Linked DNA regions of Arabidopsis thaliana. The protein of the gene in region 2 purifies or fractionates together with the protein of the main gene of each other region. This does not show direct contact. Each region holds a gene or a part of one and is shown on either strand. Other genes may lie near its edges.

Region 1 (4,491 bases), on a different chromosome or scaffold from region 2:
CAAAAGATAAGTGATCCTGAAAGCATAGCTGAGATACTTAAACAGGTCTACACAGACCATTCTATCAATGTGGATAAAGTATTCTCACGTATTGTGGAGGTCACACAGCATCCGGCTGCTGCAGCATCGTTTGCTTCAATCATGCTTGCTCCTGGTGGAGAGCTATCTTTCTCCGAAGCTTTATCTAGGTATAAGACAGTGTGGTTTCTTGTTTTTATATGTTTTTTACTCTGCGTGATTGGTGTTATTGCTTATGAGGAATGCTGCTATTTGATGGTTTATGCTAGGTGTAAGGAAAACAATGTTCAGATATGTCTCATGTATGGAAGAGAAGATCCATGGGTGAGACCGTTATGGGGAAAGAAGATAAAGAAGGAAATCCCCAACGCTCCATACTACGAGATCAGCCCAGCGGGTCACTGCCCACACGATGAAGTCCCTGAGGTATAATGAACTAGTCAATAAATTCTTCAAACTCTGCAATTAGGTATAATGAACCCACCATTTGGGATATGAAAACGAGCAGGTGGTGAACTATCTGATGCGCGGGTGGATCAAGCACCTGGAGTCTGGTGGTTTTGAAGCGCTCCCGCTTTTGGAGGACACTGAAGAAGATTGGGAGGAGTCCAGGATTGGTAGAGAAATTGAGTTCCCGAGAGATGGTTGGAAAAAAGCAGTGAATCTGTGGTTATATGGGTCAAACTATACGTACTGGAGAGGAGTTAGAGAATCTTTCAGATCCAGTTTTATAAGGGTGTTTGGAGGGAAGTCTGCATAGAAGAAGCATGGAACAGTCGTCTAGTGTAAATTAATTGTAATCTATGTTGCATCCGATGCTAGCTATATAATGTTGTCTGTAGAATCAAGTTTCTAAAATGTTCAAAAGGAAAAGTTAGAAAAATATCTACTTGATAGTTAGTCACCTAAATCGAAGGAACTCCTTTCTTGCATTGTTGTATATAATCCACAGGTTCAGATTAATATAGGAAGGCGACATTGCAGGCCATATGAGTTGTCTTAAAAATTGGAAGAGAGCTTGAAATTACTCTGATTCCAAAAGAAGAAAGTGAGTGTATTTGAATTGTTAATAATTTCCAAAGGTGAACAGTTTTATTGAACATGTATGGTGTTTGAAAAGACGTATCATTGGTTACTTTTCTCGAGGCAAAGTCGTATCCTTGACCATATTCTTCCCTTAGCTTGAATCTCATTTTTGTCAGTTCCACGGTCAACAAATAAGGGACTGAATTAGAAGGCTATCCAAACCACTTTTGAGAAACTTACTTACACAGGCTATATATCCAACATGAGATTTGGTCTGCTTCTTTTCTTAATTTGTTTCTTAGTCTCTGATAAAATCTCGTTATCTATTTATTGATTTGAGTGTCAAAAAAAAAAAACCGGTGTTACAAAGCTGCTACTAAAGTGTCGTTCTACACTAGTTGTAAGAAATTACTTCTCAGTATGTTTTTTTATCTCTCACTAGTTGATAACATAATGGTAACCATCAAACAATGCTAGTTGTTGCAATTTTATTCTTGGGGGTACTTTGAAATTGTTTCTAATTGTTGCTCTGAACTTTTTTTTATTTTTATGTCGGTCAACATTGTTGGTCTGATTTATGTCTTACAACAACATTAAAGAGAAAATACACTAGTACTAATAAATCTAATTTTAAAGGGAAGGAAAAAAGAGGAAAGAAAAAAACAACTTTAGGAAGAAAAGGGAAAGTAGGACCCAGAAGAACTGACAAAATCCTCCAAATGTGGCAAAAAGGTATCATGCAAAAAACCCTAAAATTGAAAAAAGAGAGCACGCAAAACAGTGGCCATGCAACACACAACATTCATTACCGAGTTTTTACCTTTCTTTCTTTTTTCTATAAAAACAAAAATATTCCATCCAAATTTAGCAATCTTTTGTGTTCCCATTAATAGATTCCCAAAAAGCACTTCTAAACCCATTTTGGAATACATTGAACCTTTCCTCTTCTTCTTCTTCCTTCTACCTTCTTCTCTCTGTTCAATTTTGGGGGAAAATGGGTCGTGGAAAAATCGAGATAAAGAGGATCGAGAATGCGAATAGCAGACAAGTCACTTTTTCCAAGAGGCGTTCTGGGTTACTTAAGAAAGCTCGTGAGCTCTCTGTTCTTTGTGATGCTGAAGTTGCTGTCATCGTCTTCTCTAAGTCTGGCAAGCTCTTCGAGTACTCCAGTACTGGGTAACACTTATTTCTTTTTGATTCAATTTTGTTTTTGCATGTCTTGTCTTGTTGTGATTAGAATCGATTTCGGGAACTGTAATTGATTTTTGTTTTTGCATGTTTGTTAAGATTAAAAGTTTTCTGATTGAGCTGAAGAGAGTCCTAATTTTGAATTCTCATTTGATTTTAGAATGAAGCAAACACTTTCCAGATACGGTAATCACCAGAGTTCTTCAGCTTCTAAAGCAGAGGTGAGAATCATTCATTCTTGTCTCATATATCTTGAAATTGTTTTTTTGAAAATCTGATTGCTGTTTAGAACCTCCAGGAGGATTGTGCAGAGGTGGATATTTTAAAGGATCAACTTTCAAAGCTTCAAGAGAAACATTTGTATGGAAACTAAATAAATCTCACTATGCTTGTTCATTACTTTATTCTTCTCTACTTTGTGTTTGTTTTTAGTGTTTGGCTTTGTGTGTTCTGTTCTGTTGTAGACAACTGCAGGGCAAGGGCTTGAATCCTCTGACCTTTAAAGAGCTGCAAAGCCTTGAGCAGCAACTATATCATGCATTGATTACTGTCAGAGAGCGAAAGGTAACTAGTAATATCACTCTTCCATCATCATTTCTCTTTGCATTGTCCTGATTATGGTTATCTGATTTCAGGAACGATTGCTGACTAACCAACTTGAAGAATCACGCCTCAAGGTAAACACTAGCTTTTCCTCTCTAGCTTCCAAATGTAAGCTTATGTGTAATCACATGATTCTGAACCTTGTTAAAACCAGTGGCTATCCTTTGACAAGCTCATGCTCTAACTAGCTAGTGTGCAGTTTATTTGTCTTAAGACTCCTATATAACTAGGTACAGAGTGCAAAAGTATAATTCGTTTCTTGATTAGCCATATATATACTTTGCAGGAACAACGAGCAGAGTTGGAAAACGAGACCTTGCGTAGACAGGTTCTTATTATTTTTGTTGAATCATCTCCTAATGAACGCTTCTTCCTCTGACTTGTAATTACTTGTTGAAACAGGTTCAAGAACTGAGGAGCTTTCTCCCGTCGTTCACCCACTATGTTCCATCCTACATCAAATGCTTTGCTATAGATCCAAAGAACGCTCTCATAAACCACGACAGTAAATGCAGCCTCCAGAACACCGATTCAGACACAACTTTGCAATTAGGGTATTGCTCTTTTAAGTCTATTTGCTGTCATTGGTTGCATTATTGGAAAGCTGATTTAAGATAAATATAAGTCTTTTTCCTCCTCTGTTAGTTATGCATATGCCTTAACACTCACTAACTGGAGTTATAAAATTCTTACTACTTGTGTTTTCTCCAAGGTTGCCGGGAGAGGCACATGATAGAAGGACGAATGAAGGAGAAAGAGAGAGCCCGTCAAGCGATTCAGTGACAACAAACACGAGCAGCGAAACTGCAGAAAGAGGGGATCAGTCTAGTTTAGCAAATTCTCCACCTGAAGCCAAAAGACAAAGGTTCTCTGTTTAGTCCTAGAAAAGTATGGGAGAAGGCTACTAATGTTTCCTCTTTAGCAAGTATCCGATTGTTTTAAAAGTAATTTTAGAGGGATACTTGCAAAAAGAAGAGAAGATTCAGTTATCTAATCTCTGCACCAACTCTCTTTGTCCTTCTTCTTTTGATTATTTCTCGACTGTCTCTCCTATAAAAAAGATATGCCTAGCTGAGAGTTTGAAATCCATAATCTTTACAAGGCACAGAGTTATTTGACATCTCGTATAGTAAGAAAATTTGCGGAGAAATAAGCTTATAGAAAGTGAAGGTTATCGGAATCTTCCTACTCCATTACAATCAAGGCCCAATTGGACCTCAAATCCTAAACTGAAAAAGTTTATAATGAATTTCATTAAATGCCCCTAAAATATAAGCAAAAGTTTCAATAAAGACCTCATATTTCTCTATAATTACAATTCGTCCCCAGATTAATAAAGCCCAAAGGCATTAGACCGAAAACCCTAACCCCTCTTTATCCGCGCGAGAGCAATTGAGCAGCCATGGTTTGCATCAGGCGAGCGACGGTGGATGATCTGCTGGCGATGCAAGCCTGCAATCTCATGTGTCTTCCTGAGAACTACCAGATGAAGTACTACCTCTACCATATCCTCTCATGGCCTCAGCTTCTCTACGTCGCCGAGGACTACAATGGTCGCATCGTTGGCTATGTCTTGGCTAAGATGGAGGAAGAGAGCAACGAGTGCCACGGCCACATCACTTCTCTCGCCGTTCTTCGTACCCATCGCAAGCTCGG
Region 2 (6,471 bases):
CCACTGGAACTGTGTTACAGAAAGTGGAGAGCAGAATCAGAATAATGAGCGATCTGAGAGAACTTGCATCTGCAGAGAGTCTAGATGCATTTACACTCGTGTACTCGAATATTCTAGAGCACCAGCCTGACTGCCCGGTAAATATTATCTAAACAAAGCCTGCTCTGGCTTTTTACAATATCAGTATACACAGAATCTCTAATATATGGTATGCAGGCCGAGGTCGTAGAGAAGCTTGTTAGTCTGCGTGAAGGCATACCACGGAAGGACACAAAAGAGGTAAACATACCAAACTCTCTTTTTTGGAAAATGCTGGGTTATAATTGTAGCGAATCACATGGATTTTTAAACTATGGTTACGAGACTTCAAATGGCGAAGAATTCTTAAATTGACGAAATGGTTATGGTGATGAAAACAGGTGGTACAAGAGTGCAAAGAGATATATGAGAACACACTGGTAGATGGTAATCCTCCAAAGACAGGATTTGTATTCCCGAGAGTCAAGTGCTTAACTGCTTCCAAAGGATCTATGTGGCGAAAACTCACTTAATCTGTAAAACAGCGTTCAGCGTTTGCGTCCGTAACTGCTTTTCTAGTTGAGATGATGTTCTTTCTCCAAATTATGGCGTTTGCGTCCATGTCTTCTTTTTCTTTGCATGGTATCTTTCCTCTGTAAATTCTGTGTTTTCTCTTGTTTTGTTCTTTTTCTTACCTTTATTCCTGGATTTGAAAGTTGAAACGCTCGGTGGCCACTTGCACTAGGATATTATCCCGTTGTATTTAGGAGGCGTATTTTTTTGTCGCAAATTTTAATTCTACTGTTTCATTTAATTTTGATAAAATCTTCTTAAAGTTCGTTTCTCTTTCATAACAAGGTAGCTCTTATTGTTTTTAGAATTATTTCTGATTTGTGAAATTTTGAATTTGAAGCATATTTTTATCATGAATATAAAAAATGTTGGGGATTATAAAAAAGTTTGTAAATTCACTCATTGGCAGCTGATTTAGCCACTCACAATATCTAAATAAATAATTGTAAGCATTATCTTGAAATATTTTCTGAAATGACTGTTTCTTTTTTACTTTAATTAAATTTTGTTCTAGAAACCTTTTGATCATAATGAAAATAAAGAGTCCATCCACCACATGGGGTAAGCATAATGTGTGATATTTAAAGGGTAACAAATGTAATCTGCTTTTTATTTTACTTTTTACCTCTACTCAAATTGTATGGGCAGTTTTTTTTTTTTTTTTAAATGATAAGACAAGTATCTGTTTAATGGTATTGTGATGAAACAGTAGTAAAGTCATATCGGGCACGCCATACTACTTCCACAGTGGAACTTGGCCAAATTTTGTCTTTGCCGTCTCTACAGTTTCTTCCACCAAATTTTTTGTTGACAAAACTCAAATCTTTCAATCTCATCTCTGCCAAAGTTGGGTTTAGAAAGAATATCAGCAAACACTAATATCTTTATTGTTGCATGGTTTATCAATCACAAAATTCACAACCATTGTAAAAAAAAATTCACATTTTTGGTATGAGATTGCTCACATGATAGTGAACCTCTTTAACATTTTAACTTTACTTTCATAAATACGGGATTACGAATCTTACTTGCATTAAAAATTTAGAAAAGGTTTTTCTACTTAAAGAAAAAAGGGACCCAACAGAGAGAGGTTTGACCAGGAGAAACGGGTGCATAGCCTTAAGAGCTTTCAACTACTTTACCCCAAACCCAAAGCGATGTCACTTTCAACCATCTCTTCTCTCCCCCGAACCCGTTTTTTTGACCGGTCAGTTCGGGCAGCAGCACCGTTACGGGCAGCTTATATTCCTCGTCTTCCTCCTCTACACCACTGCATGCCCATAAATAAAGCCCGTTGAGATCTTTAAAAATATTAAATAATATATCAACGAAAAAGCTATTTTATTCATAAGAAGAAAAAGAGAGGAACAACAACAACACACTAATCATAGTTTCTCTGGCAGGCTTGTTGTTGCGGCTTAATAAAAAGCTCTTTTGTTATTATTACTTCACGTAGATTTTCCCCAAAAAGCTCTTATTTTTTTGTTTAAAAAAAAAAGTTTCATCTTTATTCAACTTTTGTTTTACAGTGTGTGTGTGAGAGAGAGAGTGTGGTTTGATTGAGGAAAGACGACGACGAGAACGCCGGAGAATTAGGATTTTGATTTTATTTTTTACTCTTTGTTTGTTTTAATGCTAATGGGTTTTTAAAAGGGTTATCGAAAAAATGAGTGAGTTTGTGTTGAGGTTGTCTCTGTAAAGTGTTAATGGTGGTGATTTTCGGAAGTTAGGGTTTTCTCGGATCTGAAGAGATCAAATCAAGATTCGAAATTTAGCATTGTTGTTTGAAATGGAGTCGAGTTATGTGGTGTTTATCTTACTTTCACTGATCTTACTTCCGAATCATTCACTGTGGCTTGCTTCTGCTAATTTGGAAGGTTCGTGGTTACTCAATTACTCAGCTTTACTCGTTTCTCAATTACTTTCTCGATTCTTTTTTATTTGGAGGTGAATCGCTATCTTTAGTGTCTGCATTTTGATTTATGAAAATTGTTGTTGTTCTTTGTATTTGTAAGATTTAGTGGCTAGTACTTTGAATACACTGTTTTGCTTTTCTTGTTCAGATCAACTTTGTATATTGTAAAGGCATGTTCTTTGGGTTGAAAAGCTGGGTTATTTGATATCTTAAGATTGATGTTGTTGATCCAAACATTCTCTGAAAGACTTCATTTGTTTTTGGTTTTGTAAAGAATTTGTTTAATTATTAGCCTCTAATCTCAGAGAGGCCTGTTTGAATAGTTCTCTCTTGAAATTAGACTTTTCACCAATTGATGCTAATTGTGTAGATTTGTTGTTCTTGTTATAGGTGATGCTTTGCATACTTTGAGGGTTACTCTAGTTGATCCAAACAATGTCTTGCAGAGCTGGGATCCTACGCTAGTGAATCCTTGCACATGGTTCCATGTCACTTGCAACAACGAGAACAGTGTCATAAGAGTGTAAAGCTTTCTTCTACTAATCCCACTTTTTAAACTTTGACCTCAGCGTGGTTACCGACATTTTTGTTTCTTTTGTCAAATACAGTGATTTGGGGAATGCAGAGTTATCTGGCCATTTAGTTCCAGAGCTTGGTGTGCTCAAGAATTTGCAGTATTTGTAAGTTCCACTTATGCATCATGCTTTAACAAAACAAATCCAAGATTTGACAGAAGAAGCACTGGAGTTACCTTTTGTAATTGAAATCTTTTTAACAAGTTTCTTATTTTCTTACAGGGAGCTTTACAGTAACAACATAACTGGCCCGATTCCTAGTAATCTTGGAAATCTGACAAACTTAGTGAGTTTGGATCTTTACTTAAACAGCTTCTCCGGTCCTATTCCGGAATCATTGGGAAAGCTTTCAAAGCTGAGATTTCTGTGAGTATACATATGCTTTACCGGCTCAGTTACAGTCTTTGTTTAATCTTAGGTTTTGTTCCAATTTTTGACTCTTTGCTGAAAATTTTACATGCAAGAATAGCCGGCTTAACAACAACAGTCTCACTGGGTCAATTCCTATGTCACTGACCAATATTACTACCCTTCAAGTGTTGTGAGTCCTCTCATTAACTTTCATTTATGTCTACTTCATTCTCCCTCAGTTGATTTGTTGAGTTAATGCACTTAACCTTGATGGATGCAACACAGAGATCTATCAAATAACAGACTCTCTGGTTCAGTTCCTGACAATGGCTCCTTCTCACTCTTCACACCCATCAGGTTCTATGATTTATCCTCTTCAGTTATTTCAGTTGTTGTGTCAGTGTCTGAACTTATTCTGAAACTTTCATTTCCTTGTGCAGTTTTGCTAATAACTTAGACCTATGTGGACCTGTTACAAGTCACCCATGTCCTGGATCTCCCCCGTTTTCTCCTCCACCACCTTTTATTCAACCTCCCCCAGTTTCCACCCCGAGTAAGCCTCCTCTTTTTAGTTTACATTATAGGAAACAGAAGATGAAATCTTTGCTTCTCTGTCAATCCTTTTTCTCATATAACTCATCTTGCCAATAAGGCAATAACCAAATGATCTAATTTGATTTCAGGTGGGTATGGTATAACTGGAGCAATAGCTGGTGGAGTTGCTGCAGGTGCTGCTTTGCTCTTTGCTGCTCCTGCAATAGCCTTTGCTTGGTGGCGACGAAGAAAGCCACTAGATATTTTCTTCGATGTCCCTGGTGAGTTTATTATTCGCATTAGTTTCTGTTCTTAGCCAGCAATTTTGTTTTGCAGAAAAGTATTGGAACAACTGTTAATGAAAATCAATACATAAGTCATTGTTTTTTAAGTTACAAACTCTTTTGAGTAAAATCTCGATTGCAAAATCTCTTTGCAGCCGAAGAAGATCCAGAAGTTCATCTGGGACAGCTCAAGAGGTTTTCTTTGCGGGAGCTACAAGTGGCGAGTGATGGGTTTAGTAACAAGAACATTTTGGGCAGAGGTGGGTTTGGGAAAGTCTACAAGGGACGCTTGGCAGACGGAACTCTTGTTGCTGTCAAGAGACTGAAGGAAGAGCGAACTCCAGGTGGAGAGCTCCAGTTTCAAACAGAAGTAGAGATGATAAGTATGGCAGTTCATCGAAACCTGTTGAGATTACGAGGTTTCTGTATGACACCGACCGAGAGATTGCTTGTGTATCCTTACATGGCCAATGGAAGTGTTGCTTCGTGTCTCAGAGGTAAAAACTAAACATCTTGTGCTCTCTCTCAATTACTTTGACGTGAAGTGTTTTTTCATGTTTTCCTTTATGGGTTCATAATTGTTGGTTACACTAATGACACAGAGAGGCCACCGTCACAACCTCCGCTTGATTGGCCAACGCGGAAGAGAATCGCGCTAGGCTCAGCTCGAGGTTTGTCTTACCTACATGATCACTGCGATCCGAAGATCATTCACCGTGACGTAAAAGCAGCAAACATCCTCTTAGACGAAGAATTCGAAGCGGTTGTTGGAGATTTCGGGTTGGCAAAGCTAATGGACTATAAAGACACTCACGTGACAACAGCAGTCCGTGGCACCATCGGTCACATCGCTCCAGAATATCTCTCAACCGGAAAATCTTCAGAGAAAACCGACGTTTTCGGATACGGAATCATGCTTCTAGAACTAATCACAGGACAAAGAGCTTTCGATCTCGCTCGGCTAGCTAACGACGACGACGTCATGTTACTTGACTGGGTAATAACAACATAAAACTTCCATTTGACCCCAACAAAAACCATTGAAACGAGAATCTAATCTCAAATACTTGTTTGTTGGTTTAGGTGAAAGGATTGTTGAAGGAGAAGAAGCTAGAGATGTTAGTGGATCCAGATCTTCAAACAAACTACGAGGAGAGAGAACTGGAACAAGTGATACAAGTGGCGTTGCTATGCACGCAAGGATCACCAATGGAAAGACCAAAGATGTCTGAAGTTGTAAGGATGCTGGAAGGAGATGGGCTTGCGGAGAAATGGGACGAATGGCAAAAAGTTGAGATTTTGAGGGAAGAGATTGATTTGAGTCCTAATCCTAACTCTGATTGGATTCTTGATTCTACTTACAATTTGCACGCCGTTGAGTTATCTGGTCCAAGGTAAAAAAAAAAAACATAAAATTATTGAACAATAACAAATTTTACAAGGTAGGTAGTTTTTTTACCCGTAAGTTTTCGTTTTTTTTAATTGTTAATGTAAAATGAAATCTAGCATTCAAAGATTTGTGATTTTGTGCTATGGTTCGATTAAAAGGGAAAAAAATTGTAATCTAAAGATTTGTGTAAGATTACTGTCTATTGTATGAAGTATGAACTATGAACACAATATATGTACATCCAAAAATACGTTAAACTAACTCCGCTGTTTTGCTACAAAAACCCTTTCAATTTTGTTCTACTAAACGTCGTTAGAATACACAAAAGCGAAACAGCGTCGTTTATTTATAATGCGCTACTCACATGACGCCGTTTCACTTTTGTGTATACAAACGACGTCGTTTAATAGAAAAATTTTTGGAAGGGTTTTTGTTGGGAAAAAAAGAGAAGAAGGGTTTTTGTACTTTGTGTCTTCTTGTTCCATCATCGTGACACGTCACACCTCCATTCATCTCCGCCGTCCTCTTCCTGTTCTTAGTCGCGGCTGGAAAAAACTGTGGTGAGAGAGAGAAGAAGAAGAAGAAGAAGATGAGTAATAATACTAATAATACAGAGATGAATAATCTAGCGATGGAAGAAGAGGATGAAGGAGAGATTTTCCTTGGTGAATCCGATGTCCTCCGTGAAATCGATGTCGACGAAGAAGGTTTTTTTTTATCTCCTTCAATCGTGATTTTTTTATCGTATGTATATATGTGTATGTGTATGTGACTCTTCTATTTTCGATTCAGATCTTCCTGAAGCAGATGATGATGATATGGACGATGATG
Region 3 (4,544 bases), on a different chromosome or scaffold from region 2:
GTCATTGATCCATCCACCGCCACAGGCTCTTCCCGAACGTGCAGACCACCTAATGATGTCCAAACAAGAGGTAAACCATTAATTTTACTTCTTTTCACTGTCTATTAGTTTTTTGTGTGGTTTAGAGTAAAAAAGTCATCATGTGTGTCACGTTTAAGTAGATGTGGGCAATCCGATTTTTGGTTCCCTTCATGTGTTCCGCAAAGTTCTGCTTAAGTGTAAAATCTAGAATTGCTGATATACGTTCTAATTGGTGAATTTGCAGAGGAGGATTTAAGATGTAAGGTGTAAGACGTTTGTAGCTGCCTAAAAACTGTAGGAGGAAGGCATTCCCTATAGTTGCAGATATATGTAAATATCCTCCAATTTTTAGTCTCATGGATGATCTTAGTTGTATATTACATATAGTAGTTGATCCCTTTTGAGAATGATGACAAAAATAGAGGCAAACAGAGTTAATAATAATTGCCTGAGGAATTTTGGTTTTTCTACTATCACTCAACGAAGCTTTTTTTTTTTTTTTTGTCCAGTGATGTGACATGTTTTACGTCCGAGATTTACGGGTTTAACTTCTGTGGAGTCTGTCTTCTTTTGATTGGGTTAAGAAACTTTGCTTCTAGAAGGTTAAACGTAAAAATTACAAAAATCTGGCCACACATTATGCAGCTGAAGATCGATCATTTACATTTACAAGGTAGTTGAAAGTAGAAAAAACAAAAAAAGTTCCTAACTTAGGATCTCAAATGTAAAACCTAACGTGGAGAGACATCTAAGGATCTGTAGCTTTCACAAATCTGCCCTTAACACGCAACCTGGTCTCGGCTCTCGCCTTCCTCGTTTCATATCTTATGGTCTTATCATATCTGCTGAAGCAATTACAAATTAGCGATTTCGAAAGACAATCAACTTACAAAAGGGAAACTAAAAGAAAAAATGGAGAACATCATTACCTCCGCGTTTTCTTCTTTTCCTTGTACCGCTGCATAGCATTATCTCTGTTCTGTGCCATCTGCTCTAGATCAGCATTCGTTACCGCCACCAATCTTGTGGCTCTATTACTAGTAATAGCAATATGTTCCGTGCAATGCAAGCCACAGGAGTCGTTAGAACTTTTATGCGAGTGAATGGCAGCAGGAATATTGTTGCTCTTAGATGTTTCCTGTCCCTTGGTAGAAGTTGAGTGGACGGAATCCTCCTGCTACATTCTACTTATAAGTATCACAGTTCACCGACAAAGATATACCAAAAATAGTAGTTTGACTTATCAATTATGATATAAATACATCAGGTTTCATTCATTCCAAGATGTTCTAACCAATAGAAATAAACCCATGAGATGTAGCTACTACCAGACCAGTATATCAGTCACCAACTTAAGCTATATATGAGGGAATATTCAAATGTTTAAGGTATGGAGTGTTTTGGGATTGAATTTAGGGATCGGGGGAGTTTATTGTCTATAGAACAAACTCTAATTACGTTCTGCAATGTGCGTTGTGTTTGTCAATTTGTGAGATAAATAAAATGGTTTACAATTCCAAACCTAATAACAATGTAATACCTGGTAACTCTCTTTGAAAGCATTCATATTGGTGGTTCGGGTATCGTTCTTGAGATGAGTAACGTTGTTGAATGTGAAAGTAGAGCCTTTAGTTTCGACTGGACTAGGTTCATCAGGGTTCCTCGACTGTCCCAAGTTAAAATCCCATATCTGCAACAACGTATATTCCACTGTGAACCCCAGGCCATAAAACAGAGTCTTATCTCTAATTAGGACAACCAAGAAAGAATAATCAACGTTCCGACAGGTAACTTAACAGATTTGGAGACCTAAAGATCCAACTGAAGTTACTGTAACATGTTCTAAGCACAAAAGCAAGAACACATGACCAAACTTAAAACCCTAAAATCAATTGCCAGAGAGAGATAGAGAAATGGACCTGAGTGTTCTGGCCAGTGCTATGATTAGTAGCATTCCATTGCATACCATTACCACAAAGACTTTGAGACATAAGCAAAGAAGTAAACGACGTCGTCGGAGATGGCTGAGAAATGCTTCCTCCGCCATTGATTCCCTCCGGAACCATAATCTCTCCTTCGCCTTCAACGAAGCCTCTCTTCAGTAACTCAAGCTGTTCAAACACTACCTGCTTAGACCTCCCAAAGCTAAAGCTTTGCTTTTTGCAAGACACATCATAAGGAACAATCAGTTCTTGAACGATGTTAGATCCAGAACCCCACGAATCCAACCCCATCCCAAAATTCTTAGTCAATTCGTCTTCGTCATCTTCTTTCTTCTTACCCTTTAAATCGATTCCCCACACAGCAGCAAGCTCCAAAACCGAAGGACAACCTGAAAACCCTTCCACGGCGGAGCGTTCATGCGTCGCGGAGGAGGAACAGCTTCCGTGAACATCCCAATCACACTCCTGACACAATACGAGATTATCTGTGAAGCAACGTACGGACACCGGCTCTTTGCTACAGTTATCACAGATCTGAGAACGAACATGCTTCCTCGAGAGAAGGTTCGCCGAGTGCACGTGCTGGTCACAAGGCAAACAAAGCTTCGCCGTATCGGCTCTACAAAACAGAACCGCCGTTCTCTCGCCGCAAAATTCACACGCCACCACACTCTCTGTAGTAGAAGTACCCATTTTGTGTTTAAGATGGTACCTTCACAATCCCTTAAAATCTCGCTGATTTTATACAGTGGAGAATAAGATCAAGATGACGAAAGGTGATGAAGTGATCGATGGAAGAAGAAGAAGATGACATAGACATAATCTCAAAGTCTCAAGCTTTCGGTTTTGCAGTGAAAGGAGAAGAAGAAGATGTCATTAATTGAAAATATCTAACTGTTGTACCGGAAATAAAGTTGCATTTACATAGGTAATTAATTACTTGAGAAATAATTGGCTGCATTACAGTGTATGGATTTAGGCACATTAATTGGCTGCCTTTCTTTCAGATCCACGCACAAGGATTTTAGCCCATGTTTCTGCTAAGCCCAATTCTAAGCCCATTATTTGGATGGGACGTTAGGATGTTAACGACATGATCGATAAGGAGAATATTTCACATGTACGAAGTTTACTAACTCGTAAATCGTTCCAGATGATCATTATTTGGCAATTTAGAAAACAAATAAGTCAATATATATATACTAGGAACATATCCTAAATCCAGCCATGAATTCACACCAAGTATCCAAATATCCAAAAATCTTGCAAGTTCTGTTGTAGCACATCTTGAAACATTGTGCAATGTCATTTTGAATGTCAATAACAACATTCTATTTTTGACATTGGTATCTTGGTAACGAGATTGCTTTCTTGGTCTCTTTTAGAAAGGTTATTATCTTTTAGTCGAATATCAATAACATATCTCTAAGAATTGTCCAAAACTCAAGATGTTTGTCCATAGGTTTGGAATATAGTAAACGTTGGAAATAAATTACTGATTTCCACTTTTCAATCGGATGAGGATGTGTTTTTTACCTTTTACATCCATCTTTGATTCATCTCTTAAAGCCATGTTTTCTCTCATTGATTCATCAAGCTCAGCGAACATAATTTTCCTCCCACACATGTGTCGCTTTCACCTATGTGACAAATCATTATTGGTTGTGTACTTGTGTTGTTATATGAATAGAAGATGAATGGTGTTACAATCATTGCCCATTATGTGGTGCGAGAAACAAAACATCCAACCTTTGCTATTTTCCTATGCCCTAAGGTTTTTTCACATGTTACTTAGCTATTATGTGTTTCAAACTCACTTGGAATGGATATTCTATATTCTTACTTTTACGAATTTTGATTCTTTATTATGTAGAAAACCTACAGAAAATCACGTTGTAAATTCGGTTTCGAAACCATAAAGGACTTCAATATTCAACTATTCTTTAACAAGTGAACTTTTATCATCTATATCACTTAAATCTTTATTCTCTATATCACTTGAATTCATAATAGAGAAACGAAAATTTAACTAAACACAACCTTTAAAGAACCCTTAAAAAGTAATTAAAAAAGAAGGAAAGTGAATTATACTAAACAAAAGATTATGTTAAAATTCGGATTCTTAAAAATCTTCTAGGGAAAAAAAAGCAAAATGGAATATGGATTCGATAAGGAAGGAAGGAGAGGAGACCCACACACAAGAACAGAGTGACAGACACAATTTGGCGTCTCTTTCGATCTGAAACATCTCTGTCTCTCCTCAGAGATTCCCTTCTTAGGTCCCATTGTCTCTCTTTCTGTATATTACAACTCTTGCAAACCTTTCTACCACCAAGATAAAATTATTATTTGGTAAAAAGCAATATCTTTAATTTTCTAGGAAAAAAGAAAGAAAGAACAACACTGGATTGAAGTGGTCGTCGCTTTCTCTTTCTACACTTCCAACAGATTCCCTTTTGCACTTCTCTCTTTCACTCTTTTCACTATTTTTGTTTTATCATTATTTTGTTTACGGAAACGTCATTTTCCTCCAGACAATACCTTTATTCCCTATATATATAATGGTATGGTGTAAAAATG
Region 4 (4,452 bases), on a different chromosome or scaffold from region 2:
TGAGCCACCTTCCTTTAGATTTGTCACAATTTTGCATCCATCGAGCCGGTTGAAACGCAATAGCTCTGGGATTTCGGATCTGTACCGGTTTGGGAAGGAAGGGTTACCGTCCAGTGTATCGGATTGCTTCTTCAGAATCCGGTGCCGTCGATGTGCTTGTTGGGGAGACTAGCTTTCTGGGAGTCTTGTGGTGGGTTGGTGCGCCGGTGGGGTTGATTCGAGGACGAAAACCGGTCTCTTTCGTCGGAGTTTCTCGAGCATCGGTTGCGGCCTCGAAACTGTAGGGCTTGAGCCCGCCGGATCTAATGCTCCGGTCTCTCTGCTAGCTTCCATCAACAAGCGGCGATCTTCCTTCTTTGCCGACATGTTTTCCGATTTGCTAATTTTGTAACTGGATTTGATGTTGTTTTTGTTGCGGCCCAAGGTCATTTGGGATGAGGATTAATAATATTTAAAAAAAAAAAAAAAAAAAAAAAAAAAAAAACCCTAGTCTGAAGTACAAAGTAAATCCATACTATTAGTCCCTATTGATCAGAATGTAATCCATGTCCCAATAGCATTACCGCCCGGAGGCGCATCATCAGAAAGGCTCAATATCCCCGGCTTTCGTTGTTCCGGTCTTAAACCAAAAGCGGACCATATATCCGACTGACCCGACCAATGATACAAGATTGAAGATTCTTTAAAAATGGGTTAACACAAATTCTGTTGCGTTAAGCAAAAATCAGAATACCCTAATAAGAACTAAGTAAATAATACACTGATTATGATAATTTATGACGAGTTGAATGGAAAGCAATAATTCAAAGTTTTGTTTCTTCACTTCCTAAATACTAACAAGCAACGAAGCAGGAACCAAAGACTCAAACAGCTTTAATAACCCAATAAAAAAAAAAGGGAACAGAGATTTTTGGAGAAAATCAAATAAAGATCTTTCTCTCTGCTTCTACAAATCCCCTAATCATATCATATGTTTTTGGAAAATCCATACCATACATACTTAGAAATGTCTCTCCCTCTCTCTCTGGTCACTGCCCTGTCTCAGCTGGTTTCCCCTCTTCCGGCTCATGTTTTGACGCCTCCTTGATCTCATCACCGCCCGCCTCATCCTAAAAATCAGCAACACAATCAGCGTTTGAGAGAAATTTCTGAGTAAAAGAAGCTTAGACTGCATATATAAGAGTTTATAGGGAAAAGCAAAAGGAGGAAGACAAAGGTGTACATTGATGTCAGAGTTCCAAAGGGTCAGATTGTCACGGAGAAGTTGCATTATCAACGTACTGTCTTTGTATGATTCTTCTCCTAATGTATCCAGCTCAGAAATGGCCTCATCAAAAGCCTGTCAAAACAATTGAGAGAATATCATTAAGCAATTTGGTGCTGGAATAAGTGTTACAAAGTCTGGAAGCATCATAACATCCCGTATGACAAAATACAAACCTGTTTTGCGAGACTGCAGGCACGATCAGGTGAGTTGAGAATCTCGTAGTAGAAGACAGAGAAGTTAAGAGCAAGTCCCAGTCTAATCGGATGAGTAGGAGCTAAATCAGCAAGTGCAATATCCTACATTAGAAGAAAAACACACATAAGCATTCATCATGACAGCTCCTTTACTGGTCTCAAGCAGCAAAATAAGATAGATAGATGTTGAAACTTAAAGAGTTTACCTGAGCTGACTTGTAAGCAACCAGAGTGCTCTCAGCAGCTTCTTTCCTCTCAGCTCCAGTCTTAAACTCAGCAAGGTACCTGTGGTAATCTCCTTTCATTTTGAGGTAAAAGACTTTGGACTCGGCCAAAGATGCAGTGGGAACAAGGTGAGAATCCAGAAGATTGAGTATTCCATCACAGATTTTGCTGAGTTCAGTTTCGATCTTTCCTCTGTAGTCCTTGATAATGGAAACATGATCATCGTTTCCTCTGCTTTCTTCCTTCTGTTCAATGGAAGATATGATCCTCCAGGAAGCTCTCCTAGCACCAATGACGTTCTTGTAAGCAACAGACAAGAGGTTTCTCTCTTCGACAGTAAGCTCATCGGTGTCAACAGTCTTTGCAACTTTCTCCATGAACTCAACCATTTCCTCATAACGTTCAGCTTGCTCAGCTAACTTGGCTAAGTACACATTCTCTTCCCGAGAAGACGACATCTTATGTTATCACACACTCTTTTAGATCCTGTTTTCAAAAATTCATTTCAAACTTCATCAACATCACAGTAGCTTGGCTATATCAACATTATTCCCAACAAAACAAAAGAAACAACAGATAAATCGTCGAGACCAACAAATCAAGACAAAACGAACACTATACCGATAGATACACCTAGAAACCTAGAATCTATCAAAATCATTCGAGATTTTGCCAGATCTCCAGATAACAACGAACACAGAGAAGATTAAGTCCACAAAACGAAACGAAAACATGAACGAGCAACAGAGAGACGATTTCGTCGAACTATGAGCAAAAGAGAGACTAGATCCGTAGCTTACCGAGAGGATTTTGGAATTAGGGATTTGTCGAATTCGAAGGTCGAGACGCGAAATGAGGGGGAAGTGAGAAATTAGGGGAAAAAAAAGGAAGAAGAGATGGGCTTTGATTTTCAGAGAAAGTAAAGAGAAAAATAAGGCCCAGTAATAGTATGACAAGTGTCTAACGGTGTTGACCCGTTAAAGACTTTAATGATCGTGGAAAATAAATAATTTAATTGGGCCTTGACTCCGTTACTAGAAAAATAAAAATCAATTAAAGTATGCCGTGCATTGTTGTTGATTTGACTTTTAATTGCGTTTGTTTACACATAAATCTGGTTCCATTTTCTTAAAATTCTGAAATCTTTATCTTGTTCTGTTTTCGCTAGAAACCACAATCAAAACATTCATCATGTTTGTTTGATACAAAAGATAGAAAAAAAAGATACATTCAAAATTATCTAAGACAACAAAGGATAACGAGTAAAAAATAAATAGTATTCATATGCTAATACTCAAAACACGAAAGGGAAAGTAAGAAAAAATTGAAAACAAAAGATAGTCTTGTTTTAAGTAGGCTTCCTCATATTTCTTCCTGCACGAATCACTTCATCCACTAATAGCAACTGCGAAGCAATCACCGGCCTGCAATACAATACCAAACAACCGTTTTAACAACCTGAACTCAACCGCAACTGAATTAAAAGACTCCATTATACAAATTTCCATTTGGTTCTGCACATACCCTGAATTGATAAGTTGGCGTTTCACCGAGTAATTGTCGAAAATGCCGGCAAGCTGAGGGTCGACGGGTTCTCCATCCTGTAGGTCTAGTCCCACGATGTTTCCTTTGTCATGCTCACTCTGTATATACATCGAAACTCAGTAGATAAACACAAACATAATTTTACTTGGAGCATAATCGATAGTGGCAGAAGAGGAAAATACAAGAATAATACCGTTAGAGAAATGATAACGTCTTGAGTGTCAAGCCCAGCATTTTCAGCAAGCGTCTTAGGCACTACGAGAAGGGCATTAGCAAAAGCTTCAACACCGAGTTGAGCGCGCTGCAATTTGCCCACAATTTACATTAGCAACCGGAAAAAAACAAGAATTGGTATTGGAGCAAAGGAATATTGCTTTCTACTCACCCCTTGAACGGTTTTCTTGACTTCATTGATTAAGTGTTGTCTTGCTGCAACTTCAAAAGCTCCAGCTCCCTACAGAAAGAAACAGATGTCAATAAACCACATGCGCCCAAAACCAAAACAATCACACTGATATAGCAATGGATTTGATCTTTGTGGAGAAGAAGGTACTTACTAATACGACACACTCATCTTCTAGGGTATTCTTAACTGATCTTAAACCATCACGGACAGCGTCCTTAATTTGAGCAATAGTGTGGTCATTAGGCCCTATAAAGAAAACCAAATCATAATCATAGATAATCAATGACCACACATATGAAGATAAGCAAAATTGATCTTCAAAACTTAGCTGGCAAGAGATAGAAGTTTGGGCATTTGTACCTTTTATGAGGATAGTACATGAATGAGGATTCTTCACTTGCTCAACAAATGTGTACTTCTCCTCTCCAAGAACGTGCTCATATACAAGTCCAGCCCAACCAAGACAATCAGGGGTCAAGTCATCGACAGAGTTCACAGCTTCTCCACCACATGCCAAAACCAAACGTTCCATGTTCCTCCTCTTTGCCCTTCTAAGGGCGATTATCTGGAGATACATATATACATATATAAGGAACAGAAAGATAATTCTCTTGTAACAACTTGTAGACACAAGAAACAGAGCACAAGACAAAAAAAAACAAGCTTGGTGGAAGATCCAGGCATTTAAGAGATTCTAGGTGAATACTCTTAGTGGATAACCTTTTCTCTATTTGGTTAAAATTTCAGTTCACTTGATTTCACAATCTTCGTCTACATTTTTTCATGCTTTTCTCACAATCAGATGCCGGAAAAAA

What was found.
Region 1: the proteins of SERK1 (region 2) and AGL15 purify together in Arabidopsis thaliana (affinity purification with mass spectrometry, with the first as the bait; one study listed by BioGRID). This does not show direct contact.
Region 3: the proteins of SERK1 (region 2) and BBX12 purify together in Arabidopsis thaliana (affinity purification with mass spectrometry, with the first as the bait; one study listed by BioGRID). This does not show direct contact.
Region 4: the proteins of SERK1 (region 2) and GRF7 purify together in Arabidopsis thaliana (affinity purification with western blotting; one study listed by BioGRID). This does not show direct contact.

Annotation. Positions count from the first base shown.
Region 1 is NC_003076.8:4,448,350-4,452,840, reverse strand, and holds AGL15 (AGAMOUS-like 15), read left to right. Parts: upstream 1-1,882; 5' UTR 1,883-2,038; coding exon 2,039-2,220; intron 2,221-2,392; coding exon 2,393-2,453; intron 2,454-2,521; coding exon 2,522-2,592; intron 2,593-2,696; coding exon 2,697-2,796; intron 2,797-2,867; coding exon 2,868-2,909; intron 2,910-3,121; coding exon 3,122-3,163; intron 3,164-3,237; coding exon 3,238-3,389; intron 3,390-3,547; coding exon 3,548-3,713; 3' UTR 3,714-3,979; downstream 3,980-4,491. Other genes in the region: PPH (pheophytinase), read left to right, coding at 1-188, 288-444, 527-778; AT5G13780 (Acyl-CoA N-acyltransferases (NAT) superfamily protein), read left to right, coding at 4,238-4,491. UniProt on the Arabidopsis thaliana protein: Transcription factor involved in the negative regulation of flowering, probably through the photoperiodic pathway. Acts both as an activator and as a repressor of transcription. Binds DNA in a sequence-specific manner in large CArG motif 5'-CC (A/T)8 GG-3'.
Region 2 is NC_003070.9:27,016,195-27,022,665, forward strand, and holds SERK1 (somatic embryogenesis receptor-like kinase 1), read left to right. Parts: upstream 1-1,963; 5' UTR 1,964-2,380; coding exon 2,381-2,468; intron 2,469-2,896; coding exon 2,897-3,029; intron 3,030-3,114; coding exon 3,115-3,186; intron 3,187-3,303; coding exon 3,304-3,447; intron 3,448-3,550; coding exon 3,551-3,622; intron 3,623-3,717; coding exon 3,718-3,789; intron 3,790-3,872; coding exon 3,873-3,985; intron 3,986-4,115; coding exon 4,116-4,247; intron 4,248-4,405; coding exon 4,406-4,747; intron 4,748-4,852; coding exon 4,853-5,247; intron 5,248-5,333; coding exon 5,334-5,648; 3' UTR 5,649-5,923; downstream 5,924-6,471. Other genes in the region: SEC6, read left to right, coding at 21-137, 217-279, 420-551; AT1G71840 (transducin family protein / WD-40 repeat family protein), read left to right, coding at 6,230-6,347, 6,433-6,471. UniProt on the Arabidopsis thaliana protein: Dual specificity kinase acting on both serine/threonine- and tyrosine-containing substrates. Phosphorylates BRI1 on 'Ser-887' and CDC48 on at least one threonine residue and on 'Ser-41'. Confers embryogenic competence.
Region 3 is NC_003071.7:14,187,390-14,191,933, forward strand, and holds BBX12 (B-box type zinc finger protein with CCT domain-containing protein), read right to left. Parts: upstream 2,866-4,544; 5' UTR 2,658-2,865; coding exon 1,941-2,657; intron 1,712-1,940; coding exon 1,562-1,711; intron 1,199-1,561; coding exon 951-1,198; intron 864-950; coding exon 770-863; 3' UTR 534-769; coding exon of another isoform or gene 531-533; 3' UTR 525-530; downstream 1-524. Other genes in the region: AT2G33490 (hydroxyproline-rich glycoprotein family protein), read left to right, coding at 1-70, 266-277.
Region 4 is NC_003074.8:525,772-530,223, forward strand, and holds GRF7 (general regulatory factor 7), read right to left. Parts: upstream 2,618-4,452; 5' UTR 2,487-2,617; exon of another isoform or gene 2,308-2,486; intron 2,173-2,307; 5' UTR 2,145-2,172; coding exon 1,668-2,144; intron 1,564-1,667; coding exon 1,441-1,563; intron 1,340-1,440; coding exon 1,223-1,339; intron 1,110-1,222; coding exon 1,029-1,109; 3' UTR 522-1,028; downstream 1-521. Other genes in the region: AT3G02530 (TCP-1/cpn60 chaperonin family protein), read right to left, coding at 3,035-3,110, 3,211-3,329, 3,425-3,532, 3,617-3,685, 3,789-3,883, 3,998-4,202. UniProt on the Arabidopsis thaliana protein: Is associated with a DNA binding complex that binds to the G box, a well-characterized cis-acting DNA regulatory element found in plant genes.